Linked DNA regions of Alligator mississippiensis. The protein of the gene in region 3 interacts with the protein of the main gene of each other region in a biochemical or structural test. Links are inferred from orthologs where the notes say so. Each region holds a gene or a part of one and is shown on either strand. Other genes may lie near its edges. The genes, in order: SOS1, KIT, PLCG1 and LAT.

Evidence for each region.
Region 1: the proteins of PLCG1 (region 3) and SOS1 form a complex in vitro, tested with the Homo sapiens proteins (2 studies listed by BioGRID and IntAct, with this or other methods). The link is inferred for Alligator mississippiensis from reciprocal best matches to the Homo sapiens genes PLCG1 and SOS1.
Region 2: the proteins of PLCG1 (region 3) and KIT form a complex in vitro, tested with the Homo sapiens proteins (3 studies listed by BioGRID and IntAct, with this or other methods). The link is inferred for Alligator mississippiensis from reciprocal best matches to the Homo sapiens genes PLCG1 and KIT.
Region 4: the proteins of PLCG1 (region 3) and LAT form a complex in vitro, tested with the Homo sapiens proteins (2 studies listed by BioGRID and IntAct, with this or other methods). The link is inferred for Alligator mississippiensis from reciprocal best matches to the Homo sapiens genes PLCG1 and LAT.

What each region holds. Positions count from the first base shown.
Region 1 is NC_081824.1:236,139,493-236,147,398, forward strand, and holds the start of SOS1 (son of sevenless homolog 1), read left to right. Parts: upstream 1-4,897; 5' UTR 4,898-5,160; coding exon 5,161-5,247; intron 5,248-7,906.
Region 2 is NC_081825.1:59,920,765-59,927,795, forward strand, and holds the start of KIT (mast/stem cell growth factor receptor Kit), read left to right. Parts: upstream 1-4,030; 5' UTR 4,031-4,166; coding exon 4,167-4,242; intron 4,243-7,031. UniProt on the Homo sapiens protein: Tyrosine-protein kinase that acts as a cell-surface receptor for the cytokine KITLG/SCF and plays an essential role in the regulation of cell survival and proliferation, hematopoiesis, stem cell maintenance, gametogenesis, mast cell development, migration and function, and in melanogenesis.
Region 3 is NC_081832.1:17,809,604-17,817,191, reverse strand, and holds the start of PLCG1 (1-phosphatidylinositol 4,5-bisphosphate phosphodiesterase gamma-1), read left to right. Parts: upstream 1-4,583; 5' UTR 4,584-4,804; intron 4,805-5,250; exon of another isoform or gene 5,251-5,539; 5' UTR 5,540-5,674; coding exon 5,675-5,876; intron 5,877-7,588. UniProt on the Homo sapiens protein: Mediates the production of the second messenger molecules diacylglycerol (DAG) and inositol 1,4,5-trisphosphate (IP3). Plays an important role in the regulation of intracellular signaling cascades.
Region 4 is NC_081830.1:220,748-227,679, reverse strand, and holds the start of LAT (linker for activation of T-cells family member 1), read left to right. Parts: upstream 1-3,913; 5' UTR 3,914-3,993; intron 3,994-5,729; 5' UTR 5,730-5,733; coding exon 5,734-5,827; intron 5,828-5,993; coding exon 5,994-6,024; intron 6,025-6,116; coding exon 6,117-6,172; intron 6,173-6,246; coding exon 6,247-6,310; intron 6,311-6,485; coding exon 6,486-6,547; intron 6,548-6,898; coding exon 6,899-6,925; intron 6,926-6,932. Other genes in the region: SPNS1 (protein spinster homolog 1), read left to right, coding at 39-175, 263-414, 500-566, 773-918, 993-1,121, 1,589-1,778, 1,891-1,956, 2,197-2,295 and 2 more. UniProt on the Homo sapiens protein: Required for TCR (T-cell antigen receptor)- and pre-TCR-mediated signaling, both in mature T-cells and during their development.

The DNA.
Region 1 (7,906 bases), on a different chromosome or scaffold from region 3:
GAGATGCCCTGGGGCAAGCCTGGATCAGAACCCTAGGCCAAGCTGGTCCTAATGGGGCAATAAAAACAGCCAATACTCTAAAGCCACAGGCAGTAGACCCCACCCTATGTAGGTTTTAAAAGCTAGGCCCAGCATGTAGTATACTTTGTCTGGGCACTTACTCCTGAACTTTCTTGTTTACTTTTCAGATCTCTGGCCCTGACTCTTGGCTCATCCTGGCTGGGTTTTGGCTCCTGACTCCAGTTCTGATTCCTGGTGCACTCTGACTCCAGGTCTGTGCCTTGGCAAAGCTCTACTACAGCTCTGGCATACCCTGACCTGGCTCTGGCTTCTGATTCTGGTTCTGATTCCTGGCTTACTCTGACCTCAGCACCAGTTTCTGGTTCACCAGACATCCCTGGGAACCAAGTCCTTGGACTTCACCTGCATATAAAGTGACCCTCCCCTTCTGCCCAGACCCTGGTTACTATAAGGGACATTCTAAAACAAAATGGTATCTTTCCTTCTCTTTCTGGTGGGGCTTATGCAGATTCTTCAGTCTGGAAGCAAGCATGACTCCAGTCCCTCTGTCTCAAGGCTGGGAGGCAATAACTCAATTGGTTAGAGTGTGGTGCTAAAAATGCCAAGGTCACAGTTTTGGTCTCTGTATAGGACACAAGACTTGTCCTGACTCAGGCAGGAAGTTGACCTAGATGACCTCTTGAGGTCCTTCCAGCCCTACTTCTCTATGATATCTATGATAAGGTGCCTCAAACACCCTTTCATTAGGGGTTTGAAAGAACTAGCTGGCTCAGAGAGATACCTCTTAAGGCAGCCTGCCTCTCCTGAAAGCCTCTTCAGCAGGACTCACTAATGCAGCCTTTCCCTCCTTTCTCCATATACTGTTTCCTGCTGGTTTCTGGAGGAAGCTATTTTGCTCAAGCTGATTCTGACTCAGGCCAATTAACTTATTGCATCCTAGCACTCCTCCTGAACTTAGCATTTGTGTCGTCTTAGCATCTGTAGATCAGTACCTCTGCCAGGTGTTATACCCCATTTCAGGATTGCAAGTCCTGATATTTCATAGCCAGTGGTGACATTTATGGGCTGGAGCAGATAAAAATATCTGCAAAAACTACAGTCAGATATTGAAGGCGAGTTTACAAGGTTTGAAATGGACCCTTTTAAATTTTTTTAAGTAGGGATTGGAATTGAAAATGTTGTCGAAGTCCTGATTTAAATGTTACATTTGCCACCAACTGGGTGTTGGATCAGTGAAAAACAAATAATGGCTTTCATAACATTTTTGGTAAAAATATTAAAATTTAAGATTGAAAACACTGCAAAAATTTAGCAAATTAAAAAGTCAACGTTATTATTATGTATTTTTGGGAGGGAGCCGGGTGAAGAAGCTGAAAGTCATGTTTTGACTAAACATGTTCTTGCTTGAAACCAGGTGGCCCACTGAAAACTACTTGCCACTGCCAGTGCTTGGTGACGGACATGTTTCCTGGCAGCCTGTATATGGTAATGGCAACTGGTATCAGTCAGAGATGAATGAAGCTGTGCTGTCCTTTTGAGGCAGGTTCTAGGTCCAGCACTACCTGGATGCTGCTTTTAGTCTACAAATAAGTGTTTACTTATTTGTAAGGGACTACAAATAAGTAGGGCAAGGGAACAGTAGGACTTGTAGCCGGGATGATGGGGGTCAGGGAGGCCCCAGTGATTTTGAGGGATTATCAAAGGAGGTGCTTTACAGTAGAACCCAGACACTTCACAGGATCACATCCCTAACCTCACTGCATAGAGGATGGTTCAGAGCTAGAGCAAAAAGTTTCATGGGCCTGCTGATGTGCTCCAGCTGTGTAGAGAAGTGGTGCCCCTTGAGTAAAAGCAGCAGCAATCAGCTGAATGGCGTATCCTTTATTGGACAACCCACTGCTGTGTAAGCAAGTTGTAAACCGCCTGGATATGAATGGTCCAGGTTCTACTGTATTACCACTGGAAAAAGAAGGGGGCCAACAAAGAGCCCTGAGAGGTGTTTGCCACAGAGAGAATGGCTTTGAGAAAATATTTACCTCTATTTGGATTTCTGCTCACTGGGATTTTCATCTGGACTTGGGCTTTTGCTGCTGTTAAAATATTAGGAGCTTTGAGTCATAACATGCTACAAAATAATAATTGGTGGGTTTTTCCTCTTTGCCTGTTGGGGTCACTTGCATCATATTCTTAGCTTTCCTCAGGCATCTTGAGGTTTAGAAACTTGCAAGAATGAAAAATGAGATTCCTCATCATTCAATTCCCACAGGTGGAGCTTTAAGAAAAATGACCAAGTGTTGTGAGACACATGGGGCATGTCTACACATGGCTGTACAGAAATGTTGTTACGTTTCCATGCTTTAGTACTTCCTTTTGGAAGTACTAAAGCATGGTGCAGTAACTGCCTGCACTGCGCCATGTGTGCAACTCACACATTTTGCTGCTACATCCACATAATGGCAATCTAAAACAGGGGAGTGCACCGCTACAGCAATGTAGCTACCAATCACATGTAGACCCACATGATTGCTACCTTGTGGTAGCGTGCTGTATGGTGACATTTTTGCCCATGGTGCAATTTTAAGGTTTGGTAACAGCATGTCAGCTTCTCAACTGGTGACAATTCCTGGTGGGCAATGATGCTTGACAACTCTTGTCCACTGAAGACAGCAGGTAGTAGGTGGTCAACTTGTGCATCCTTGTTACTTGCTTGCACGTAGTGACAGATAAAGGACATTTTCACCCACTGCCTGCCATTTGAGGAGGGACATTTTGTGCCCAAAAGCCTATCTAATCTCTCTCCCAACTCTAGAGATGGTTTAAGAATAGACATCACCATACAAATCTTCCTTCTGCCATTCAATAAGCCTACAAGAAAATGGTGAATACTTGGTGAAACATTGTGGTGTGGAGGCCTTTGACACTTGTGTACAGCATGGTAGCAGAAAACTTAGCCTGGTTGAAGCGGCAATAACGTTGCCCACCCACTCCCACATTACAGGCATCAACTCAGAAACAAAGTGGTGCCCTAAGTGGCTCTTCTTGAGCATGCTGAAAATCTAGGTCTTGAGCATGGCACTGGGGTATCTGAGGTTGTCCTCAGCAACTCCATGCTAGGGTAATGCAGATGGAGTGGGTGGGTGAGACCAATCATTCTCCTGCTGCAGGGTAGATGTGCCCCAGGAGAAGGTGGAAGGCTGTCAGTTACCTGTGAGGCACTGCCATGGCTGGTGATGGTGGGTGGAAGCATGTCACAGTCAGGCACTGATAATTTGGGAGCCACTGGTGGGTGGTGACAGGAACTGTTTCCTAGCAACAGGTACCAGGGGAAGGCTGGTGGCTAGGGCCAGTGACATGAATCTCACTATTACCACCAGTCCTCAACATCTTTGCCCTCACAGTGGGAAATGGGGAAAGGCTGTTACCCCATTGTGCACATCAGACTGGGCGATTTTTCACCAGTGGACCTCCATGCCCTTCAAGGCAGCGTAGCAGCACCATGCCCATGGGACAGATAGGTAAAGGGAGAGACAGGATAGATGAGGCTCAGGACAGTGAACCTGCTGGCTCAAGATCACCCACTGTCCTCAGCCCTAGTTTGGCCTGACATCCCAGGAGAAGAGTGGGCCCACCCTGTGTGCTTGCTGGCCAGCTGCTTCAGGAGGGCTAGCCCCCTGTCTGGGGACATGGCCTGTGCTGAGGTGGACTCCCAGGCTCCCTGCCCTGGGCTGCTGCCCCTGCAGCTGGGAGCTGCTGTGCGTGGGCTTAGTGCTGGGCCCGTGAGAATGAGTGCTGTCAGCATTGCCAGGTCTTAACCATGAAATTATAGTATTGGAAGCTCAAAATTATTGTATTTGCTGAAAAACTACTGAAGACTGAAAAGATAACTGTGCAAATAAATCTTTTTCTTATTTACTTTACATTGCTCGCTAGAAACCAGCAGTGAGTGAGAGAGAACTGGGTCATCCAAGTGGAAGCATTTCTTTATTTTGAGGCAAACCATCATAAGAAAGCACTGACAGCAAACCAAAGTCAGCTGACTCCCTGAAAGTGATGTGGTTTTTGCATAAGCTGCATCAATGAGCTGTCTCAAAAACTTTTCTACACTTTGAACATGTTTAGCATTGGTGCTTTCAGGGGTGTAGGTTGTAGCCCTGTTGGTCTAAGGCAGGGGCAGGCAATTTGGGCAGAGGGGTGCTTACTGAGTTTTGGCAAGTCATTGAGGGCCGCATGACAGGCAGATAAATATTAATTTTTAAAAACATTTTAGGGGACCTGCAGGCGGGACAGAATGGGCTGGCAGGCCATATTTTGCCCACCCGTGGTCTAAGGGCATAGGTAGACAAGGTTCATTATTGCTTAGGCATTATTAATCAATCAATGTATTACTACCATCAATCAATTAAATATCATTAATCTTATTAATCAATGTATTCATATTGTTAACCAATTAATATTAATCGTATTATTACTGTCAGTCAAATTATTAATATTATTAATCAAATCATTCATTAATAATTAATTAATAATTAGTCATTATTGGTCAGGCATCGAACGAAGGCGGAAGCTATGGTACAAGCGCGGTAGCCAATACACTGCGCGCTGTGCAGGGCGGGGAGGGCAGGCCTCGCGCCAGCGCCCGCCACGGCTGTCCCTGTGGGCTCCTCCCTGCCGCAGGGGGCGCTGCGGAGCCCCCTCCGCCGATCGCCCAGCGAGGCGTTCGGCGCTCGGCTGAGCTGGCCTGGCCACTCGCTTCCCTTTGACGTCCGCATCTGACCTGGCGGCTGTTGGGCGCACAGGCACGGCGCATGCGCCCTGGGGGAGGGAGGGGGTTCAGTGTCGCCCTGCCGCGCATGCGCCCTGCGGAGTAACCGTCCGGGCACGGGAAGAGCCCCCGGAGCTGCAGCCGTGCTCGGGTCCCGGCACAAGCCCCGCCCCCCGCGCCGGTCCCGCGCCCCGCGCTGCGCCCCCGGGCCGGGCCCGGCCATGCCAGCGCGGCCGGCGGGGTAGGGCGGCGGGTGCTGAGGCCAGGCCGGGGCCGCGGGGGGATGCCGCCGCCGCCGCCCGGCGCCCAGAGCGGCCGCCGCCGGGAGCCGCTGGCCCCGCGCTGAGCCCGCCCCGCCCCCCCGGCCCGGCGGCAGGATGCAGGTGCCGCCGCTGTTCCACGAGCTGTGCAGCGAGGACAGCGCGCCCAAGTGGCGGGGGCTGCTCGTGCCCGCGCTCAAGAAGGTGAGCGGCGACCGGGGTCTTCGGGCCGCACTCCCCATGGCGGGGCGGGCTCCACAGGTGCGGGGCAGGGCCCCGTGTGTGTGTGTGTGTGTGCGCGGGGCGTGTTGTGTGTGGCGCACAAGCACAGAGAGACACGTGCACAGACACCCGCCCCCCGCCCACCCCAGCGTCTCGGAGGAGCTGCCAGGGACCCGTGGCAGAGCCCCAGGCTTGCACACAGCGTGGTTTGCGAAACACTGGTGGCTAAGGTACAAGCCTGTCCTGCAGAAGCTTCTGCTTCAGTGAGAGGTGCCTGCCCACAAACTCTGGTTTCATTTGGCCTCTTTTTAGAGCGGCGGTTCCCAGCCCCGGGTTGCGACCCAAATTAGTGTCGCGGGGGCAATGCCGGCAGCGCTGCACACAAAACATGAGCCGCGCCGCATGTCAGGAGCTCCCCCAGGCTGCTAACGCCGCAGTCTGCTCCCAGCAGCGGGTTGCAGATAAAAAAGGTTGGGCACCACTGTTTTAGAGCTTTGTTTTGCGAAGAAACCTGAATCGAGGGCAGGAGAGTAAGTCTCACTTGCTCCTGATACTGGCATTGGTGTGGGGGAAATGGGTCAGGGCTGCTCACTTCTGACTTCTGCCTGTAGCAAATAAGAACGAGGCTTTCCAGAAACTGTTTTCTGAAGTGGTTTTATATCCAACACTTAATCAACACCTTGCACTCAACATGTAGCAGCCATTGATGCTGGTATACTGATTGTACCAGTGGATGCAAACTTCCTTAATGTGGCTGAACTGGGGGCACTCCACAGCATGGACTGGGTATCCCAAGTATTTCAACTGCATTGATTCAGCTCACCTTCCCAATTTTCTCTTGCAATGCATTGTTTCATGTTTCACAGCATGTTCATCCAAGGACTCTGTGCGTTTGTATCAAGGAGCAGGTCTTTCCTGACCCCAGCACTTGCTGGTACAGTAAGTGATCATTACCTGTTTCTGAGAAAAAAATAACTTTTGGGTTAACTACCCAAATCCCTGAGGCTTTCAATGCCTTGGGATGCTCAAGCATCAAGGTAACTGAAGCCTGCTTGTGAGTTGCAGGCCAGTTGCAGCTTGCGGATTTGGCTCACTGTTCTGTGCTGTGCTCAGGGTTTGCTGTGCTGGGAACTCAACACAGGGCTAAGTAGTCTGGGAATAGAACAGGTTTTGATTAGAGGTGCACCAGTATATCGGTCCATGTTGTATCAGCACCAACAAAAGGAAAATTGACATTAATGGCAATCGACTTTCTTTGTGTGATGTGGTCAATAATGTCTCCGATAAATGGCGCATGCATGGGCACAGCAGTAGCATGCACACGGCCAGCCTGACAGCTTGGAGAGTAGTGTCTGGCTGGTAAGTCTGTTGGGGGGTGGGGAAGAGGTATGCGGGGGAGCTTATCAAGGCCCCCACAGCGAGGGAGGGTGTGGGGCTGGGGCAGGGGCAGCATGCACCCCAGGGAAAGGCACGGGGGGCACGTGCCCCACAGATGTGTGTGTGGGGCGAGGGCGGGCTGCCTGCTGCGGTCTGGGGTTGAGCCAGGCTCTTCCCAGCGGTGGGGTTGGGCTGGAGTTGCACTTGGGGTGGGGGGTGGTGCTGAAATGGGGGGGCTACAGGGTGGACTGCAGGCCACCCCAAAATTTGCTGCAGCCCCTCCTCCCAGGGCTGCCACCACCATTTGTCCCAAGCGCAGCCCCAACCCAGCACCCCTGCTAGGAAGAGCCTGGAGCTTCCTCCAGCCCACAGCAGCAGCCCACTATCACCACGCGCACAGATCCAGGGGGCACACACTCCCATGCCTCCTTCGGGCACGTGTGCTGTGGCATGAGCAGCCCGGCCCCTGCCACACCCGCCCCTGCCATACCCTCCAGATGAGCCGCGCACAGCTCTGTCCTGTGCCTTGTCCTGGCTGGACAGCCCCTGCCCAGCCCCATTCCCACTCCCTCCCCCACTGCAGGGGTCCTCAATATGTCCCCCATACCCCTTCCCACCAACAGACTTACTAGTCATATGCTGCTGTCCAAGCTGCTGGGTTGCATATCGGCAGTCGCATCCGTATCAGCTGATGTGGCTCGTTAATAATTAGCCATTGGTATTGACCCAAAAAATCTTTATCGGAGCACCCCTAGTTTTGATAGTATGAACCAGAATAAAACTGCTCTTTGAAATTGCATACATCAATTGCAGAATCTGTGAAGTTGTTAATTTCTGTCCTGGTGGGCAAGTCACTTAAGGCATCTTTATACCTGCTCTGGGGGTTGGTGTGGAGGGAGAGGGCTTTAATTGAAGCACCCACCGTGTCTCATGTATTCAGCGCAGGTGCTTCAAAATGGTGGTGGGGGTGGTGCTTTAAGTAAAGCTTGTTTGATGAGCTTTAGTTAAAGTACCGCCGCCACTATTTTGAAGTGCAGGGGTGCCGAATACATGAGATGCCGAGGCTGCTGGAGCGTGGTAATTAGCATGCTCCAGCAGACTCCATTAATCGAGTTTGCTCTGACGTGCTGTAATTGCAGCGTGTCAGAGCAGGCGTCCTGCACATCTACAAGCACCCTTAGTGAGCTGACTCGGAATGTCACTGCTCGCTGAAGAACTTGATGAAAATGGGCATGTTCAGGACCAAGAGAAGAGTAACTTGGAT
Region 2 (7,031 bases), on a different chromosome or scaffold from region 3:
AGGAGGCACTATTTCACTGTCAGGGTAGCCAGGATCTGGAACCAACTTCCTAGGGAAGTGGTCCTTGCTCCTACCTTGGGTAAATTCAAGAGGAATTTGGATGAACACCTGTCCGGGGTTGTGTGATCCCAGCATGTGCTCCAGCCAGTGGCGGGGGGGTTAGACTAGATGATCTATTCATGTCTCTTCTGACCCCTAACTACTATGAAACTATGAAACGTGTATGAAATCCAATAATGAGAACAGAGGTAGAAGAAGTAGGCACATTCATTCATCATTATTATTCCATTATACTTGGTAACTATGGGTCCAATTCCTTGACCTGCTCTTGCTCTGGCCATTTACAGCAATGCAGCAGAAACATGGAGTGTTACCATTCTGATTTGGTGGTGGCTTTATGTTTGTGTAAATGACTGTCCAAAGCATAAGGCCATGCTGAATTGGACCCTGTCTACTTGTTGCTGTTCAGGACCCAAAATAAAGTCAGTGCCCATAACTGACATAAGACTGACAATAGAAGAGGAATGGGGAGAAACCTGTCAGAATGAACCCTTGAGAACTTTTTTCTGAGATCTTTATATGATGCATTTTATACCAATTGCATCTTGAACAAATTAAGCAAGAAGTACCCAAAAGCACTATAAGAATTTCTGAAGAAACAAAGACACTCCCAAAAATATTTAAAACAAAGAAACATCTCTTAAGATTTCTTTTGTCACTTTCCAATATTAATTTTGTGAGGCTGACCCCTAGTAATAAATGTTATTTTAAGGAATGCTATTTGAGAAAAAAACTGTGTATGTACTATTAAAAAATAAAACTGCATGCTACTTTTCAGGCAAAGGAGGGAACCACCCATCAAAAGAGACTAGCTGTCTAAGATGAAAGAGAGCAGAGAAATGGTGAGAGCCATTTTAAACATTCCACACAAGACTTTCATCTAATGTTGGACCATATGGGACAATGCTATTAACCTTGGAGAAATCTGACAATGGTGAACAAAAATTAAAAAATAATATATTGCTTTCAGTAGCTTTTCTGATCTTTACTGACACACTTGAAAAAGTCTACATTTATTCTGGTTGCATCTCACTATTGAAAGTTTTGTCCTCTCTCTTGCTCTAAATCCTTATGCAAACAACAAACAAGCTTTCTTTTCCTTGACAGTTTTCTTTAACACTCTTTAATTGTGTCTTCCTATCTAGCACTGCATTCTTTCAGCTATCTGGTAGGAATTTATTCTTTGAATGCATATAGGAACTCATACGTCTAGAGTCACATGCTGTAATGTGCTTTCACCCCAGCAGTTTAAGAAAATGACTGACAACCAACAGCGTATAAAACTGGGGTCAGCAGCCTATGGCCCGCAGAACCACTGCATCTGGTTTGTAGACATGAGGGGCTTTTGCTGTGTTTTGGCATAAGGGGAGCTTCTGTGCAGGGATTTGGTGGCTGGGGGCTTTGCCTGTGCAGCAGCTGGGCAGCAAAGAGAAGCTATGGTGATGGTACTGCAGGGACAGGAGTAGTGACTGCAGCTGCAGCAGTGGCAGTGCAGGCTGGGTGGGAAGCTACCTGCTGTCAGAGCTAAGCCCCCCACTCCAAAATGTTGCCCACCCCGATATGAAAGGTAGGACATATACTATATTATCTCTGAATGATATGCAATTTCATTCTTGCTGCTAAGTATAGATTTATGTATATTTCTATGGATGCTAATTAATATATAAGCCAAAATTCCAATATTTATGAATATATAATTATATATGCAAGATGTTTACATAATTATACATTGTAATTCTTTCTCAAAAGAGTTATCTCCCTTCTTTTTTCCCCTTTCATCTTAGTCAAAAGTATTTGATTGCAAGCTATGGAATCATGGAAATCATAGAAAGGTATGCCTGGATGAGATCTGAGTTCAGCACTCCTCCCCAAGCAGGAACAAGTATATCTAGATCAACCCTGACTAATATTTGTCTAACTAGGCTCCCTCTATATGTATGTATCACACAATTACCCAGTTAATTGTACAATTTAGACTGGCTACCTGTACAAATTAACTAGCTCACCCTAAAAAAGTCCAATCAGCTATAAAGTTGTTGCTGGAAAATGTGTAATAACTTTATAGCCGGTTTGTATCCAGCTTCAGTTTGCAATTTCAGTAGCAGGGTCTGCCCCTGTGGCTAGGAGCCATATTAGCTGATGTGGCTCCCAGCCAGAGGGGTGGACCATACACAGCCAGAGCTGGGAGTCCTGCAGCTGAGGGGACTCACAGCCCCAGCAGTTCCACAGATGCCAGCATGGAGAGTCCCACAGCTGATGAGACTCTGCTGCCCAGCAGTGCTCCATAGCTTCAGACTTTGAGTCCCTGCAGACCTTGTGGTAGCTGCGGGACCCTCAGCCCCAGAAGCCATGGGACTCACACTTATGGGAGAGTGTTGCTTGCTGGTGCAGACCGGAATGGTGATCACAGGATCCCCCTGTACCAGCAGTAAGGCATGAGAGGTTCTGCTGCTAGATCCCACAAGCATGCCTCCTGCCATACATGTGTGGCATGGCAGGAGGTGCAATTATATGGATTGCTCAGCAGATACTACCATGCCTTTGCCTGAACATCTAGAGGGGCTTTCACCTATTTTACTTACAGGGACTCTGTAGTTAGCCTGTTTCACTTCTTATCTATCTTCCTAGCTAAAAGTTTTTCCATCTATGCTAAATCTCTCTTGTCGAAATTAAGCTAAAATGACCATATTTCCTGAGAATTGAAAACTATCCCTTTTTTAACAGCCTTTTACATATTTTGACTACGACTGTATTCAGTCCCCCCTCAATCTTCTCTGTTTTGATCTAAATAAACCCATTTTCTTCAGCCTTTCCATGAAAGTCACATTTGCTAAGCCTCTAATCATCCTGAGCTCCTCCCAATATGTCTACATCTGGAAGGGCAGTGTTGTGAGCTGGACACTGTACCTCAGCTGAGGCCTCAGAAGTTGGGAGTCTGACTTTATGATGTCTTACCTGGACATACTCCTATTACCGCATCCCAGAATCCTCACATCAGGTTTTATTTCTTGCAAATGAAGTAAACTGCAGCTATTGTTTTCTTTTTTCTTCCCTCCTTCCCTCAGCCCAATCCTACTCTGACCTCCCATTGCAAGGGTTGCCTGGAGAAGGGTTTCACCCAGCTGCTGTGCAGGTTTTAAGCCTTCTCTGCCCGGGAATCTGATCCCACTCCCTAGTATTTGAGGATTTGAACAACACATCCTAGGACCAACATGCTGCCTCTTGCAGTTGTGGGATCACCTCACCAGATCAGTAGTTGCTAATTCGGGAGAGCAATGATTTTGGGCAGAGGGCCACTTACTGAGTTTCGGAAAGCCATCGAGGGCCGCATGACAGGCAGCCCAGGGCAGATTAATATTAATTTTCTACATTTTTTAGGGGCCCCGCGGACCGGATAGAGTGGCTTGGCTGGCCGCATCCAGCCCCCGGGCCGTATTTTGCTCACCCCTGTGCTAACTGCACCTTGGTGGTGGGGAATGCGGCCTTTCCTCTAGCTCAGTGGTTTACAACCTTTTTTTATGTGAACCCCTTTGGAAATTGCGGACGCCTCTGACTTGTGTGGGTATTCTCATACTTATGACTGATCACAGTAATCTGTTGGGAATCCCTTAGACATAGTCAGGGGATACCCCCTCCCAGGGGTCCCTGGACCACAGATTGAGAACCACTGCTCTTCCTCAAAAGAAACGCCAATGACTGCTCCATCCAAGTAGAGCGCACATGCCCTCTTGTCTGACCAAGGGTGTTGCACTCCAGTAAAAGATACTGGATTTACCCAAAAAATCTTGTCTGCCAATGATTTGTGAAGAATTTTCCACGCCAGATCCTCCACTGCCGCCATCGGCGGTGTGGGCAAAGAGTTGCTAAACTCAATTTAAACGTGAGGTGGGGGGGAGCGCAAAGCCAGCCCGGCAGCCCCGAGACAATCCGGCAGCAGGGCGGGGTCGCGGGAGGAGGTGCGGAGGCGGGGCTGGAGCTGGAGGAGGAGGAGCAGGAGCAGGAGCAGGAGCAGGTGGTGTTTGTTGTACTCCGACAACTGCCCGTGGAGGCGCCTGTCCGTGCGGGCGCTGGGGACCCGCGGCGAGGCTGAGCGCGGGACGGGCGTTATGGAGGGCGCGCTCCCTGCCCGGGGGCTCGCACGGCTGCTGCTGCTGGTGGTGCTCCTGCTGCGCTTTCCAACAGGTGCGACCCTCACGCCGGGTCCCGGCTCGCCAGCTTGGCTGCGCTCTCGGGGAGCCTCCGCGTGGGGCGTGCAGGGAGGCAGGAGCGGGTGCGCCGCAACTTTCCCCGCTCCCAGCCCGGGGAGGGAGCCCCGGGGTCCTCGGCCCGGCCCTTGGCGCCACTGCAGGCTGGAGCGCGGCCGGCCCGGGGGGCATGAGCCAGCCGGTCGGGGGCTCCTCGGGACCAGCCTTGGCTGGGGGCGGGGGTTGTTGTGTCGCTCCCCGCGCGGCTCGTGGGCACAAAGCGCCGGTGTCCAGTGAATGATAGCGCCGGGAACAAGGAGATCAAGTGTCCCCGCGGGCCCCCCCACCCCGGCAGGGCGGAAACATCCCCCTCGGGGTGGCTGTGCTCCTTCCCGGGGCCACAAGGGCTAGGAGGGCTGGCAGAGGCCATCTAGTGCACTCCCCTGCCTGAGGCAGGACCATCCCTAGCCAGATCTTGGCTGTCACTTGTCCTGGCTCCCCGCAGCGTGTCCCCACACCAGGAGCTTGCAGGCTTGGTGATAGAGAGACACTGCTTGGCAGCTGGTCTTTTCTGGTGAAAGTGCCCCACGCTGCTGGTTTTTAAAGGAGTTGTCCTTATTCTTATGGGTTTTTTAGCCCCGTTGAGGGTGCAACCAAGAATGGTCCCAAGGGACAGCCGCTGTGCTTGCATAGGGAGGGTTGCCAGACGGGGTCCGCTCACCGTCACCGCTGCGTTGCCATCTTTTCTTTGGGTGGCTGGGTCGGGAATGGTGATGGGCTTGAAACAGTTGCACTTGGGGAGTAACAAAGGCATCGTGCTCTGGGGCCAGATGCGTGTGTAGGAGCTTGGCTTCAAAGGCCCCTCAAAGGCTGCCCACAAGTTGATCCAGCTGTAAACGGTCCCTAGTTGTTCAGGGTGAGTCGTCTGAGTCATGTGATGCTAAGTCACATCACTATCTTCTGTGGACCTGTTGGCTGTAGAAACGGTTGCGCTTTACTCCCGCTGGCCTGACGGGCTGTTTAATTTAGTTGGACTTTTATTTGTACATATATGTATGTATTGGCTTTGAGTTCTGCATTCCTCTGAGCAGTCCTGCAGATGTCACTGAGACGGCTCGTGAAGGAGAATCGGTATGAAGAAAGGTTGCAGAATCAGTCTCTTAACAGCTTAAGCATGATATCACTGCAGTCTACCTGTTGATTGCATAGGAGGTCAGACGATGACAAAATCAGTCCAAGCCACTAATAACACCTTTGCACCCATAATGTTGATCTGTTGGGCTGACATTCACCTTTCCCTCCTCAAATTCCTTAGTGAAGGAAGAGAACAGGAGGCGTTAGTGAACCAGTTTTGTCTCTGGTATAATTGTAATGATACAGACTTTTATTCTGTACCAGCAATAGCCTGCTGCATGATTTTTGCAGAAGGTTGCTTTCATTCTCAGTTTCTCCACCTATAAAAGAAAAATAATCATTTGAAGATGAGGGTGAAAGGGTCATCTACAGTCCCCTAGAGGATCACCTAGTCAAAACTTTTTTAGCTCTTTTCACTTGTAGGTCTCAAGGTGCACTGCAGTATTATGAGAGCCGGGCATTAATATTTGAGGAATTACTCCCACCTGGGAATAAATTTGGCCCACTGTTTGCACCAAAAATGGTAACGTGATTCCTTAAAAATACTTGCATTACTATTTTAGATGCATCTAAAGATGAAGGAAAGCAATGAACGGTGATGTTAAATGAAAGGTGGTGGCTCTTACTCTCAACTCCTTGGAGCAGAGGTTTTCAAATAACTATTTCAGGAACAGGGGGAGTGTAGTAGAATTTTTAGCCACAGGTTTCATATATTGGCAGTAAATAAACCTAATAAAATAACTCTGGTAGCTGCAGTAGTTGGTTTTGTATGTTTGCAAGCATTTTATTGTGGGATGAGAGATGGGGTAAGAATGGATGCATAAACATGGACTCCTGTTTTATTTCATGATAGTCTGTGATATATATTGTGATATATACTTTCAGTTAAAAGATGGATAAAACACATGTGCATATATAAAACCTGCTCAGAGTTGCACTGTGTTCCCTGAACAAATTAAGCAACAGGTCAAAGGAGCTACAAAAATGAACAAACAACTCTCTTACAAGATTTTACTCCCTCAAATTTCTTACAAGGTATATAAAAGGCAGCTATGCTTGACTTCCCTCAAGATCTCTTACCTCCAGATGCCATTTCTTGTCCCAGCCCCTTATGCAGTCTGCTGGTTGTCTCCCGTCTTCCAATTAGCCCTCCCCTTCCTCAGGAAAAGCCTGAGAAAACAGGTCTGTCTTGTGACATGCCCTAAAGGTCACCAGATCCAGGCTCTAACATAGAAAGTACAAGGTTTACTTGCACTCACCTTGAATGGCAACCTTAGATGGATTTGCTCATACCAATGAGAAATGAACAGTCTAGTGTGTAAGTCTCTCTGTAGTAAAGACATGTATCTTTGGGCAAAAGTATAATTATTTCCATATAGTCATATACACATTTACATTAGATCTAATGTAAGTAGGTCAGGCATTTGTTTCCTTAATGCCTGTCTCTATTGCAGTTAAAGAATGAATTGGTATCATGAACTATAATACAGTTTCTCTTGTCAAACTAAGCCATTTACACCTTGTCCCTTGCATCTCACTATGCTGTCACCTTTTTCTTTTCCTCCATTTTGTAGCTTGCTCTTTTTTGTGAGGTTTGTGAGGTGTTCTTGAATCTCCTCTCATTTTCTCCCTCCCTCCCTACACCTCTGGTGC
Region 3 (7,588 bases):
AGCAACAATCAAAGCAATATTCCAATGGACCCTGAGTCTTCTCTGTGCACACAAGCAAAGTCTGTCTGAATTTAAAGATGCAGGACAGAAAACAATTAAGTGTTTCAGTTGCATAGCTACGTGCAAGAGTCATCATCACTGCATAAATAAGGAAGGAAACAGAAGTTGACTCGGCTGGCACCTGCTCAAATTTGAGCAGTGGCAGCAGAGAGAATCAGGTTAGCCAAGGAGTAATGTAGGTTTTATGCAACGTGTTTTATACCAAAGCATGACCCAGGTGCTGCTGCTGATAATAATAATACTGGGTGCTATTTATCACTAGACCTGGAAGTGCTTCAAAAAGCAAGTGTCCCTGCTTGACAATGGAGAAACTGAGGGTCAGGGCAGGGAGCAGCCTCAGTAGCCCAAAAGCAAAGCTAGGAAAGGAAAGCTGGTCTCCTGAGTCTGTCCAGTACTCTAATCATTAGGCTGCACACAACTGCACTAGAGGTGTTGTCCCAGACCTCCAGGATAAAACTCAGCAGGTATTTAAGAGTTCCCAGCAATGCTGCATGAGAGCTGAGGTGTAACAAGAGCTACTGGCTGTAAGCTGACACTAGACAAGCTTAGGCTAGAAATGCTGTTCAGGGAGCCAGGAGGCCTGGATTTGATCAACTGGGGAGGCTTTCTTTGAAGATATCTTGCAGGTACTTCTAAAAGTAATAGCCTGCAAGAAATGGATTCTAGCTGTAGGCCTGCCCTGGAGAGGATATGGGTTGAAATTTTCCATGCTTAGGTTCAGCCCAAAGGCATTTATGTACTTGTATACATATTCAAGTATGTTTACACATGTTCATGCACACATGCCTTATGATGGTTTCACTGTGCAGCGCTGTCCATCTCCATTGCACTGCTTGTCCCTCTCTATAGAGAAAGCACCATCTGTTAGCTGCACACAAGTAACTGATGGAGATGGACTATACAAATATGTAATTTAAAGCATTCAGAAGATGTAAATTCAGTGCTTCTAAAGATGTCCTGTGAAACATGGAAAATGAGTTGTACATGGATGGCTTGCGGAGGAAGCTTTTATTTCAAGAGAATTTCTGCCTATATTTGATATAAGCTTAGAGATAACATGAGTGTTTAAAGCTGGTCTCGTTGGGAATTTCAGAGGCACGTCTATCTCAGCTGTTAATCAAAGAGTTGGAGGTGCTGAATATTTCAGAGAGTGCTCTCTTCCATCTGTTAGGCATTGACATTAAATAGGCATAGATGAAAACATGTTTTAAAACAGTCCAGATAAATCAGGTATCATTTCATTGGTATCTGTAATATCATAATCCTACCAGACAATTTTCTGGGTTAGCAAAGCCCTGAATGTTATGATCTAATGCATAAAAGAAAAGAAAAGGAAGGAAGGAAAAACACAACCATTAGGACTGTCATGCATAATGAAAGAAGCAAAAGGAACAAATAATTTCCCTTGAAGGTCACTCTGATTAGCTGCATCTTATCAATTTATTGCCCCCTGACTACAGTAGAAATATAGAGCTTAGTCTTGTAATAAGCACCCATGCAAATTATCCTACTGTAGAATGAGCCCACTCCTTTGAGTCATGTCTACCTGCGTGATTAAGGACTGTATGACAGTGGCTAAGTAGATGGCATCTGTCAGCTTGAGGGGTCTTGCAGTGAGAACTATGACCCATAACATCCCTGCAAGGCAGGTGCTGAGGACAGTGGACCTTGCCTCTTTCTGTGACTTCAGCACCTCACTCAGGGTTACTATGGGGAAACTCTGGTGTCCAGCTGGGCTCTGCTGCCCAGAGCCTTCTCTTGACAATGGGCACCTACAATTTGTTTGAAAAAACAGCAAGGCTTTCTCTGTCTTGCAAAAACAAGATGGGTTGTGTCCCGTCCCCTGGCCCCTGCCTTATATAATAGCCTGGTGGTTAAGGAACTTGGAAGCCAGAGGCCCAGATACTAATTCCCTGTTGAAGCTGTGCCTGAATTCCACAAAAGTCCCAATTTAGGTTCCTAAGACCTTCTTTTTGTGTCTTAGTTTTTTACATGGCCCTTTAGCTTCGTCAGCAGAGCACTCAGGGGATGGGGATCCAGGGTTCTGGTTCCTTTTCCCAGGACCGTTTCAGTATTTTTACCCAACTACTGTTTAGTGCAAACTAAAGTCCTGCTCACTCTTACACACTTCCGCTGGCCAAATTTGTCCTGCATTCCCTTCTGCAATATAAGAGCAGGGGTGGGGTGAAGAGTGTCCCCATCCAGAATGGTGCTCAGCCTGGTGATTTGGGACACGAGCAAGATGGTGGTTTGAATTCCCTCAGGCTGGGGGGTGGATTTCCACTTCTCTCTCTCACTTCCTGGCCTTAAGCACTAAGGTACTATCTAAAAAGGGAATTAGATAGGAAAAAGAGTGATGGTCATGCCTACGTTTTTGTGAGGCACTTGATCCCGTCAGTGTGTGCTAGGCAAGGTACCAGATTCCACCCCTTAGTCAAGATGGCAACAGAATGCCCTGTCCAGGGGTCCCAACCTGGCGGAGGTGTGCGCTGGGCTGAGCTGCTCAGCCGGGGACAGTTGTGGGCATGTGCAGAGGCACAGATCTAGGTGCCTGAGGAGGTTTCAGGACCAAAGGAGAGATGCCCGTGTGCACTTTAGTTGCTTCCAGGATTCGGTGGCAGCTGAGCAGGAGGCTTCAGGGTTCTGTGCTTGGACTTAATCATGTTTCAGACATCGGAGACCCTGGGTTCAGACCTTGCATAAGGTCTGTCAGGGGTCAGCCAAGTGAATATTATTTCACAGTTATGTTCATTTCACCCTCAGTCCTGCATTGAAACAGTTAGATTCTCAGCGATGCTTTTACCTGCGTCTTGAAGTTTGTACAGAGATGCTCTGTCTTTCCTGAGTACTTAACCTGTTTCCTCTGCCACTAAACCTTATCTCCTCCTGAACACGTGGCCCTTGTGGGTAACTTCATGTCACTTTAAGTAGTTGTAGACAGCACCCTGCTGCTTTTGCTGGTAAGCACTTTGTGCATTTTTAAAACAAACCGCATGTGCCTGGCTCCTGACTTCTAGCTGCAAGAGCAATTGCCTATGCAAAATGTATGTCTGACTGGGCATGAAAATGCCATGACTGGATGCACATATTAGCTCATTTTATGCATGCAACATTTCTGGATATTTGCATGTGCAATAAGCAGATTCATGTATCCACTTGTGAGCATGCAGGCCAAAGGAAGAGATTTCCTGTGGAGCAAGGAGGGAGAAATATCTGCCTGGGTCATGGAGCAGCAGTGGAGTTTCTCCTTGGTCACCTCTGCAGGCTCAGGGCTGCAAGAGTTCAAGCATGTGCTGGCATAGCCAAGCAGTTGTGATATCCCACTTGATGCACCATATTCAGGCACTGACAACACTTTTAATCAGAGCAAAAAGCCTTAAACCTAGAGGCTAATGAAATAGCCTGGCCTAATGTCCTGAAGCGATGGGGTGGGAGTAGGGGAGAAGGGAAAATGAGAGGGGGGTAGCTTTGGGAGAAAGCTAGGGGGAAACTACTCCAAATCAACTTCTTATTCATCTACTAAGCCTCCCTTAGTTTACTTTCCTGTCTGGCTGGGTGTAGCATTGCAGCACTGGCCCCATACTACCAGAATCTAACAGAGCTGGCATGAAAGGAGATGATTCTCCCCTTCCCCAGAATGAGAAAATGGAGCTTGGCATGCAAAGCCTGCTCTTTCCAGGTAGGTGTTAATGGGCATGGTGGGAGTTTTCAGCAGAGGAAAGAACAGATGGGGAGAAGGGCCTTTTGGTTAAGGCATTGGGCTGTGCTTCAGGAGAGCTGGGTTCAGTTCTTGTTCTGCCACAGATTCGCTGTCTAACCTTGGTGGAGTCGCTTAATCTTGCCATCTTTTGCTTTTCTGTTGTCAAAATGGAGACAATATCGTCTTCCTCCCTCCTCCCGTCTTCTGCGTTTCCTGAGCTGCTGGGAGCAGGGAGCGTCCTTTGTGTGTCTGGACAGCCCCTAGCACAGGGAGGCTTCAGGCTTGCCAGGACCTTTGTGTGTTACTGTCATGCTATTAATGGCTAAGAGCAACACAGGCTCTCAGCCAGTCCCCCTGGACCTATGGTAATCAGGTTTCTTCTGCCCAGCATGTCTTTATAGGTTGTAACATGACTCCTGAAGCAGTCCTCCCTGGTGAGCCATCCTGTCTGCCTTCGAAGTACGGATTTTACTTCTGTCCTAACTAAAAGCAGGCCCTGCTCCAGCTCGGGACTACTTTGTGATGACATCACCCCCCCGCGTGGCAGGATACACAGGTGGGGAGCCGCGGCGGGTGTCACAATGCGTGGGGCAGCAAGCGCTCGCCCCTGGGGCTCGAGGGGCGCGCCGGCCCTTCCCCCGGTGCGGGGCTGGGGAGCCCGCGGGGCCCCGCGCAGGGCATGGGCATGGGCATGGCCAGCCCGACCCGAGCCGTCCCGCCCGTCTCCCGCGCTCGCTTCCACCCCAGCTGCTGCTGCTGCGGGAGAGATGATTTATGAGGAGGAAGCTGCCTTGATCTGCAGCTGGAAGAGGTGGAGCCATCGGGGACTGGAGCCATGGGGCTGGCATGAGCCGCCAGCCCCGTGCCGAGGCCCGACTAATAAATCATGCTCAACCCCCGGCTCTCGGCAGCACTGCTCGCCCGAGCCCCGCCGGCGTGACGGCAGCGGAGGGGAAAGGGGACCCCCCGGTACCCGCCTTGTCCCCCGCCCCTGCAGATGCTTCGTGCCCGGGCCGCGGGGCAGCTCCGCGCGGCGGGCACACGGTAACCGCGGGTGCGGCCGGGCGGAGGAAGGGGCTGGGGGCAGCTCCTCGTCCTCGCTGGCCCCGCTTTGTGCTGAACGCCGGCTGGGGGAAGGGCGCCCCTCCGAGCCCCCGCCGTTGCAGGATGCACGAGAGCGGGGAGGCAGATCACGCCGGGTAGTTTCAAATCAGTGGGTCGAAAACATGTAGATGCATTTGGGCTGGCCCGGAGCTACAGGTCTGCCCGGGCTCCGCTCCCGCCGCACGTGCTGCGCGGGCCGGGCGCTGCCGGGGGACGGGGACGGGGGCGCGGAGCGGAGCCGGCTGCAGCGCTTCAGCCATGACTTGCAGAGCTCTCCCGAGATCTTATCGGGCTGCGATCGATGCGGGCGGGGGCGGAGGCGGAGGCGGGGGGAGCGAGGCAGGCACCGCTGGCCCCGAACAAAAGGGAGAGGTTTGCTACGAAGTCGCCTCCCTCTTTCCTCCCCCCCTTTCTCTTTGCAACCCAATCTTTCTGGAGGACCCAGTCCCGCTCCTAATCACTCAGGAATGCTTTGTGTCTGCCTGCTTTCGCTTTAGGCTCCGTCGGGAAGGAGGAGGGGGGAAAAAAAATGGTGCATGATTCAAACCAGCAGAGAGGCGATTTTTTGCTGCAGTCCTGGAGTGAAAAGTTTCGATGCGGGAGACGATCGCTCGGGCTGGGCTCCCCCCTCTAAGCCCTCGGATCTAAACACGGCTTCTTTCCCCCCTCTCGTAGGAAGGGGAAGACTCTTGTGCTGGGAGCCATGAGCTTGGATTGGTTTTATTGAAGTCTGCCAAGTTGCAGCCGGGAGCCTGAAGATCCGTGTTGCCTGGACACTTCTCTGCTTTGGGGGAAGCAGAGGAGGGAGCCATGGCGTCCGGCTTCTCCAATGGACCCTGCATGCAGAACGAAGCCGAGGTGGTTCACCTCTGCCGGAGCTTGGAAGTTGGCACTGTGATGACTTTGTTTTACTCGAAAAAATCCCAGAGACCAGAGAGGAAAACTTTCCAGGTGAAGCTAGAAACCAGACAGATCACCTGGAGCAGAGGCTCGGAGAAGATAGAAGGAGCAAGTAAGTGTGGATTTGTAACAACAGTGGGGAAGGCAACTTTTGATTAGAGCTGATTCCCCACACATCAGACTGTCCGGGTTGATGGGCAAGTTTTCTTGAGCATTGGAATCTGCCTTGCTGTGACAGCCCGGGTGTTTTGTCTAAAGGGGGAAATTTTGCAACACAGATGCAGTAATTGGCAAGTTTTTCTAAGCCGAGTAACCTTTTCTCTCTCTCTCTTAATGGCCTGAAATGTTTATCCTGTGTTGAGTGGTGTGGCAAAGGCAGAGCTGCACTAATCCTTGAATGTACATTTCAGATTGTGTGAATTTTCAATCTAGCTTGAGATCTGGGCCTCTGGCCAGTCCAGAATAACTCTTAATCGTTTTTGTGATAAACACCTTCCTTTCTTCTAGGAAGAGGCCCATCTTTGTTTCTCACCTGACCATTCATCCCATTCACCCTGGAGTTTTTTTCCCTCCACCCTCAGAAGCTCCTAAAACCTGCAAGAAAAGCCAGCCTTCCCATTCCTTGATTTAAAAACTAATCATATTTTGAGCCCATTTTTGCTTCTGTGATGGAGCTGACCTGGGTATTCATCATCTGCTTTCATGTATGTGAAGAAGAGATTGAAGTGAAGTTTTTGATTGTTGTGTTTCACAAGTGCTAATTGACAGGAGTGCATGAGCCAGAGTGGAGTCTTTGGGACTAAACTTTGGTCCTTCAGACCCTTCTGCTCTGGGGAATTCAACCCTCTTTGGTGCCTGGGTTAGCTAAGTTAAATGAGAATCACAATACTTTAATGGGTTACCTTCTAGGTATACAAGCTTACCTATTCTTCATCACCTGTTGAAGGGCACAGCTGCCTAGCTACTTAGAAATGAAGTCCACAGACAAGTTACCATCTACCTTAAAGTTGGTCATTATTTGGCTGCTTTGTTTTTTGTAGAATTCAAAGTTTAACGTAGAATTGATAGCTTTGGCCTTGAGCTCAGTAATTGCAATGAGCTCAGAAGATGAAGCAGTGGATGGCTTGAGATTATAATTTCTTAACCTATATGGCACCGAAATCAACTGTGTGGGTAGTGATTCCTCTGCTGACTTCCATTTTCCTTGAGCTTAATACCAGTTTGCAAAACAAGAAATCTTATCTATCAGATAAGTCATTAGTGACCAATTTATCAGCCTCCAGAGGCTAGACAGATGTTTTCACAGCTGGGTGGTGGGTTGATAAAATATAATCCTCTTGTAAACCATGCTCAATGCACTGAGCACCAATGTAATTATAAATATAGTTATAGCTAATTCTCTTACATTTGCACTGAATGTTTAGGGGCTATACTCTAGTGTGAAGTTGGTGCTAGAGAGAAGGTTTCCAGCCCTAGGTTCAGTTTGGGGTTCACTCTTTGTGCCTTTCTTTACACTGTTTACAATAGTTGTTTTAATTAAAAAACTGAGCATTAATATTGAATTTTAAAGGAGGGACTCTTGCCCATGTCTCCTTCATGCTTCCAAACCTGAGAATTGGTAAGGTATTTAGTTGCATCCCTGAGACCACTCTGTCTATAATTTGGTCATTATTTGATCAATTTGCTTGGCTCCAAAGTGAAAATGGGTGCTCTAGTAATTCATAAATTGGATGCTTATAAATAACTATATGCAGTTTTGTAAAGTATCTAAGAATGCTCTTGTGGTAGGATAAAATTGGAGTCTGCAATTTTTTTCCCATAGTG
Region 4 (6,932 bases), on a different chromosome or scaffold from region 3:
GCCCCTCCCGCGCCCGCTCACACCCCCGCGCCCCGCAGTGTTCATCAGCAGCTACATGGTGCTGGCGCCGTTGTTCGGGTTCCTGGGGGACCGCAGCTCCCGCCGCCTCCTGCTCTGCGTGGGCATCGCCCTCTGGTCGACTGTCACCCTTGCCAGCAGCTTTGTGCCCCGGCAGGTTGGTGCAGGGGGGCACCCGCTTTCGGGGAGTACGGGTGGGATGTACCCCCCAGCACTGACTGTGCCCGCCCCTGCGTCTTCCCAGCACTTCTGGCTGCTGCTGCTGACACGGGGGCTGGTGGGGGTGGGGGAGGCAAGCTACTCCACCGTGGCCCCCACCATCATCGCCGACCTCTTCGTGGGCGACCGCCGCAGCCGCATGCTCGGGTTCTTCTACTTCGCCATCCCTGTGGGCAGGTCAGGCAGGGGCCTGGCTGGGACAGGGTGGGGGCGGGGGCACCGTGGGGCTGTCACTGACCCCCCCTGCCTCCTTCCACTGCAGCGGCCTAGGCTACATGGCAGGCTCCAAGGTGAAGGATGTCATGCACGACTGGCACTGGGCGCTTAGGGTGAGCTGGGGCGGTGCGGAGGCAGCGTTGTACCCTCTCCCCCTGGCATGAAGCAAGGGTGGGGCAGCCCTAGGGGTGAGATTTATGCTGCAGGGGGTGGGGCCTGGGTGTTAGGAGCAGGGCCTAAGACTAGTGGGAGGAGCAAAGGCCCATCAGGGCAGGGTAGGCGGGGCCTCAGGCCTGACCCCACCCCCTCCCTCCCACAGGTGACCCCTGGGCTGGGAGTGGTGGCAGTGGTGCTGCTGCTGCTGGTGATGAAGGAGCCGCCACGGGGGGCCGTGGAGCGCCACGGCCCCCCCTCCCCACTCCACTACACCTCCTGGTGTGACGACGTGCGAGCCCTGGCACGCAAGTGAGTGTGTGGCTGGGGGAGGGCCCGGGGTGGTGGGGGCTGGAGCTGGGTCTTACTACCCCCGTGTGTTTCAGCCGGAGCTTCGTGCTGTCCTCGCTGGGCTTCACGGCTGTGGCCTTCGTGACAGGGGCCCTGGCGCTCTGGGCCCCAGCCTTCCTGCAGCGTGCCCGGCTGGCTGCCGGCGCACCGCCCGCTGACGACAGGTCAGGCACTGACCCCTGGTGTGTGTGCGAGGAGCCTGGGCTGTGGTCTGTGCTTTCCTGGCACATGTGCAGCGCTTGGTTTGTGTGCTGGTGTGTGGGAGATGTTTGAGCTTTGACCTCTGACTTTTAACTCTGTGTGTGACGTGTGTCCTGTGACCTCCGGCCTGCCTGTGAGCTGCCTGATCTCTGATGTTGGCCCCTTTGCATGTGTGCAAGGTGCCCAACGCGTGATCTTGTTTTTTGCCATGTGTGAAGAGCCTTTGTCGTGCATGTAAAGTTCATGAACTTTGATCTTTGATGTCTGTGCGAGGTGCTTGGTTTCTGACCCATGGCACCTTTACAGTGCCAGAGCTTAAACCCGTGACCCCTGGCTGTGTGTGTGTGTGTGTGTGTGTGTGTGTGAGTGTGAGATGCTTGTTATGTGCCTCTGGGCCCGACGCCCCCTGACCCATGCCCTGTGCCTGCAGCCTAGTGTTCGGGGCAGTGACCTGCGTGACGGGGGTGCTGGGCGTGGGGGCAGGCGTGGAGCTGTCACGTCGGCTGCGGCTCCGCTCTTCCCGCGCCGACCCCCTGGTGTGTGCCATTGGGCTGCTAGGCGCTGCACCCTGCCTCTTCCTGGCTGTGGCCCTGGCCCGTGCCAGCATCCCTGTCACTTACGTGAGTCGGGGCCGCCGGGCTGGTGTGGGAGTACAGGGAGGGTGGGCCAGGGCCCGGCCGGGTGTTGGGGGCTGTGCCCAGGGTCACAGGTTCACCACCCCTTGCTGCCTAGGTGTTCATCTTCATTGGGGAGACGCTGCTGTCCCTGAACTGGGCCCTCGTTGCTGACATCCTCCTGGTGAGTGGGGGCTGAGGGGGACCCAGGTGCCTGGGCTGAGGGGAGGGGTAGCACCAGGTGGAACCCAGGCATCTGGGACCTCAACACCCCCCACCCTCCCTTCTAAACCAGCAAACTCGGGAGAGAACCCAGGCGTCCGGCCACCCAGTGCCTGATTCCCCCTGGCTGGGCTGTGGTGGGGGCGAGGGGTCAGATCCCAGGGCTGCCCCCGACCTCTAACCTGTGGTCTGACCCTGGCAGTATGTGGTGGTGCCAACGCGGCGGTCGACGGCCGAGGCACTGCAGATCGTCATGTCCCACCTGCTGGGAGATGCTGGGAGCCCCTACCTCGTCGGGGTGGTGAGATACCACCCCCCCCCCCCAACATGGGGGCCAGGCAGGGAGCCTGGATGCCTGGGTTTCCTGGGAGGGGAGTGAGGGCTAGGGGCTGGGCATGGGGGGCCGGGACACCTGGGATCCGTGGGCAGGGCGTGAGGGCTGGGAACCAGGATGCTGCTGTTCCCTGCGGGTGCCCAGATGCCTGGTCCCAGCCGTGTGCCCCCCACAGATGAGTGACGCGGTGCGCCGGCACCGGCCCCCCACCCCACTGTGGGCCTTCCGCAGCCTGGGCTATGCGCTGACGCTCTGTGCCTTCGTGGGAGCCCTCGGAGGCGGCTTCTTCCTCGCCACCGCCCTCGTGCTGCCTGCTGACCGGCGCCGTGCCCACCTGCAGGCACAGGGTGAGTCTGCCCCACTGTCCCCCGGCCCAGTACGGCCCCCATGACCAACAGACCCCAGCACAGCACAGCCATCAGATCTTTCCAGACTCGAGCACGGCCCTCGGGCCAACGCAGGCCCCTAAGACCTAGCACAGTCTCTGAGCCTCTCCTAGATGCCAGCATGACTCCCAGACCAACATGGCCCCCACGACCCTCTGAGCCCCAGCACGGCCCTGTGGACCCTCACAGCCCTCCGCAGGCTCAGCACAGCCCCAGTGTAGCACCCTGAGACCACCCCCAGCCCTGCTCGGAGCTGCCGGGATGGTCCGGGGACGCAGGCGTTGGGCTTCCCACTCCCCTGGCTTGCACCTACCGGAGGGAACGCAGGCGTCCGGGCTCCCAGCCCCGACCCATTTGCTCCCAGGTGTCTGGGCCTCTAGTGTCTCTGCTTCCACCTGCCCTGGGGCTCTTACTTGCTCACTTGTTTGCACCCTAGGCTGGGTGTGGGACAAAGAGCCCAGACATCTGGCTCCTCTCTGCCCCCACCCGCTATTAACCTTTCTCTGCCTCTCTCCCCACTGCAGGGCTGCTGGCGGAGGCTGGGGGGAGCCCCGGAGCAGCGTCCGAGCGCATTGTAGTGCCGCGGGGGGGGCGCGCAGCCCAGCTGCCTGTCTCCAGCGTCCTCATTTGAGCCCCTCAGACCCCGGAGCTGCGCCCGGGGCACAGGGACCAGAGCGCCCCCAGAGCCATGCAAGGGCGGGACACAACCGTAGCCACGCAGCCGGGATGGAAGCTGCCCCCCCCGCGCAGAAGGGACAGGAGAGAGTGGCTGTTCCCTGCGCCCATGGCCGCAAATGGATGGACAGATGGATGGACGGACAAGGGGTTTTACCCCTGCAGGGCCAGACTGGGGCGTGACCAGTGCCAGCCCCCAGCCAGCACAGCCTGCCCCGCCGGGGGATTGGGGTGCCAGGCTTCCCTGCAGTGGTGGCGGGGCTCAGGCTGTGCCTTCCCAGGTGGGGGGGGTCTAGTTGCCCTATTGCAGTGTGGGAAGCCATCCCCATACCGCTGTCTTTGCACCTCATTAAAGGCTTCCTAATGGGTCCCAGGTGTGGTCTGTGTTGGGGGCCTGGGAGCCCGGACGCCTGGCTTCTCTGGGCAGGGGTGTGCGTGCCCCCGCCTGCAGTGAACAACTTCCTGCCCAGCCTCAGTCTCCCGCCGCAGCTTCCTGTGCTGCGGGGGAGGGGCAGGATGGGGGGCGGGGGGAGGGGAGTGGGGGGGGCAGGCAGAGCCTCGCGGCAGCCAGGCTGCACTGACGGAGCCACCGCGCCGGCCCCAGGTAGGTCCCAGGGCGGGGGGACCCTGAAACCATGGCCCTTCAGGCCGGCCCAGTGGGCAGGAAGCCAGTGGTGGCGTATGTCCTGCCCCCACGCTGGCTGGACGTGCGGATGTGGCCACGTGCCTCAGGGCGAGGGCGTGGGGGCGGGGACAGCCCCCGGACACCTGGGCTCCTAACCATTTTGGGGGGTGTCCCTGCCCCATGGTCGTGCCCCTCACTCCTGACCTGCAACCCCCTTTGTTGCTCCAACATGCTCCTCACGTGCACCCCCCCCATTTTCCCCCTGGTGGTGTCCCTCCCCATGCACGAGCCCGCTGTGTGCCACAGCAGTGCCCCTCACTCCTGCCCCACAGCACCCCGTCCGACCCACGGCCCCCTCTCATTGCCCCGTGGCGGCGCCCCTCGCTCCTGGTCTGCAGCCCCACCCCGTCACCTCCTCCGGCAGTTCCCTGCCTGACTCCTCTCCCCGTCGCTCCCTGGCAGTGCCCCTCTTGCCCCCTCTTGCCACGGTGCCCCTCACTCCTGACTGGCAGCACCCCTGTCAGCCCAGGGCGGTGCCCCTCACTCTGCACCCGCGCCGCCCCGTCCCCTTGGCCGCATCCCCAGTGCGGTTTGTGGTCGTTACCCTTGGCTGCTCAGCTGGATCGGGCGGGCTGGGGCGCCTGGGTTCTGGGGGGAGCAGGGCGCCCCGAGGGGCTTGTCAGCCTGCGCGCCAGTACTGTGCCCCCCCTCCATTTCCCCAGCTCAGCCGGGCTGGGCTGGGCCCCGCGGGGGGAAGGGCTGCAGCTGCTTTGCTGCGCCCGGGTCCCGCGTGCAAACCGCAGCGCTGAGACGGAGCCGAGACGCCCACAGCACCTGCCCCCCCACGAGTCAGTGCCGCACTCCTCCCCTGCTGGAGAACCCAGCTCTCAGCCCACCCCCGGTCCTGGTCCCACCTTACGAGGCCTGGTGCCTGGCTCCTACGAGCTTTAATCTCCTGGGGCGGTAAGAGCCCAGGGGTCTGAGCGCCAACCCTGCCCCTTCCTGAGCCAGCAAAGCTGGAGGAGACCCCAGGCGGCCGGGCGCCCCAGGCCTCCACGTTTGAACCTAAAAGGCCTGGAGGAGAACCCAGGTGCTACTTGCTGTCACCCACCGGGCCCCCAACCTCCCCTCCTCTGAGCCAGCTCCGGCCCCGTGTACAGCGGCCTGCCGGGCCTGCTCTCCTGGTGCTGGGGAGACCCCAGGCATCTGGGCTTCCCTGCCAGGTTGCTCCCCTCCCGGTCTTCGGTGGCACTCAGGCATCTGGGTGGCACCTACGTGGCCTGCCTGGGGAAGAGCCCAGGCCACCATGTGCTTTAACCCACCTGGCCTGGGAGTGAACCCGAGCATCCGGGCTCCCAACCCCCCCCACCCCCGTTTGAAGCCAGCAAACGCGGAAGTGAATCCAGGCGTCCGGGCCTTGTACTGGGTCGAACCCAGGCGCCCGGGCCCCCTGCTCGAACCCCTCGGACCCTGATCCCCTTCCTGGAGCAGGTAGAGACCCCAGGCGGCCCGGCTCTTCTGCTCTAAGCCCCTGGACCCTACTCCCCTTCCCGGAGCGTGGGGAACCCACGCGTCCGAGCCCCGCGCTCTCAGGGCTGGGTGGGCCCCAGGCTCCCCCGCCCCCGCTGTATGGCACTGGATCCCCGGTTGCACATGGAGAGCCCAGGTGTCCGGGTGCGGCAGGGGGTCCCTGACACCTGGTCCCCACCGTGCAGGAGGATGGAGCCGGCGTTGCTGGCGCTCGGGGTCCTGGCGCTGCTGCCCCCTGTGGCTGCCCTGCTCTGCGCCCACTGTCCGCGGCGGTCCCCACGTGGTGAGTGCCTGACCCCCCCGCGGCTCCCACCCCGAGCTGGGCGCAGAACCCCGGCATCCATTGTGCTAGGCAGAGGACCCAGGTGTGCGGGCTCTCCTTCTCTGAGGCTGGGTGGAGGGGCCCCCAGGCTGCCCTGAACGCCACCCCCAATTTCCCCTCCCCTCAGGTCCAGAGGCCATTGGTGACTACGAGTACAAGTGAGTCTGTCTGTCCACATCTGACTGTGCAGGTTTAGGGGGGTGGGGGGCTGTACTGGGGGGGGTCTTACGGTGTCTCCCCCTCCCTGCAGGCCCCCAGCCCCCTGCGCCCCCCAGAACAGCTTCATCCTGCTGAGCCGCAGCAGCTGTGAGTAACGCTCAGCCCCTGCTCCCCCCCCCCACTCCCCAGACACCTCTCCTCACCCCTTGCCCCCCCCCCAGGTGCCCCCCGCAACCAGATCCGCCAGCAGCCCGTCACCCCCACGGAGCAGTTCCTCTCCATCCCGTAAGTGGCCTTGAGTGCCGCCCCCCCCCAACCTGCCAGCGGGCCCTCCACGGGGCTGCCCACCTCCCTCCTGCTTCGGGGGTTGACCCCTCGAGGGTCCCCAGGCTGGGGCGGGGGTGCTGTGGCCTTTGGGGGCCCTGTGCTCTGTGCATCACCGGCCCCTCCTGCCCCCCAGGCGCTCGCCTCAGGCCCCTCCAAGCCGCACGGCGTCAGTGGCCCGACCTGAACCCGACAATGGTGAGTGCCGCTCCCCCCCACTGGGTCACCTGGGCCAGAGAGGCGGACAGGGTGCAGGGATGGGAGCTAACCCCAGGGGAAGGGGCCGGATAGATGGACACGGGGAGGCAGGTAACTGGAGCTGCCCTGGGGTTGAGGGCTGGACAGATGGACGTGGGCAGGGGCACAACTGGGCTCACCCTGGGATGGAGGAGCAGACAGGCGGGTAGGGGGATAATTGGAGTTGCCCCGCGGTACGGGGTGGGACAGACGAATGTGGCGGGGTGGCGGCACAACTGGGTTCACCCTGGGATGAAGGAGCAGAGAGGCGGATGTGGGCACCCCTGACCGCCTGCCTCTGCTCCCCTCCAGACAGTGTGCCCAGCTACGAGAATGAGGGTGAGTC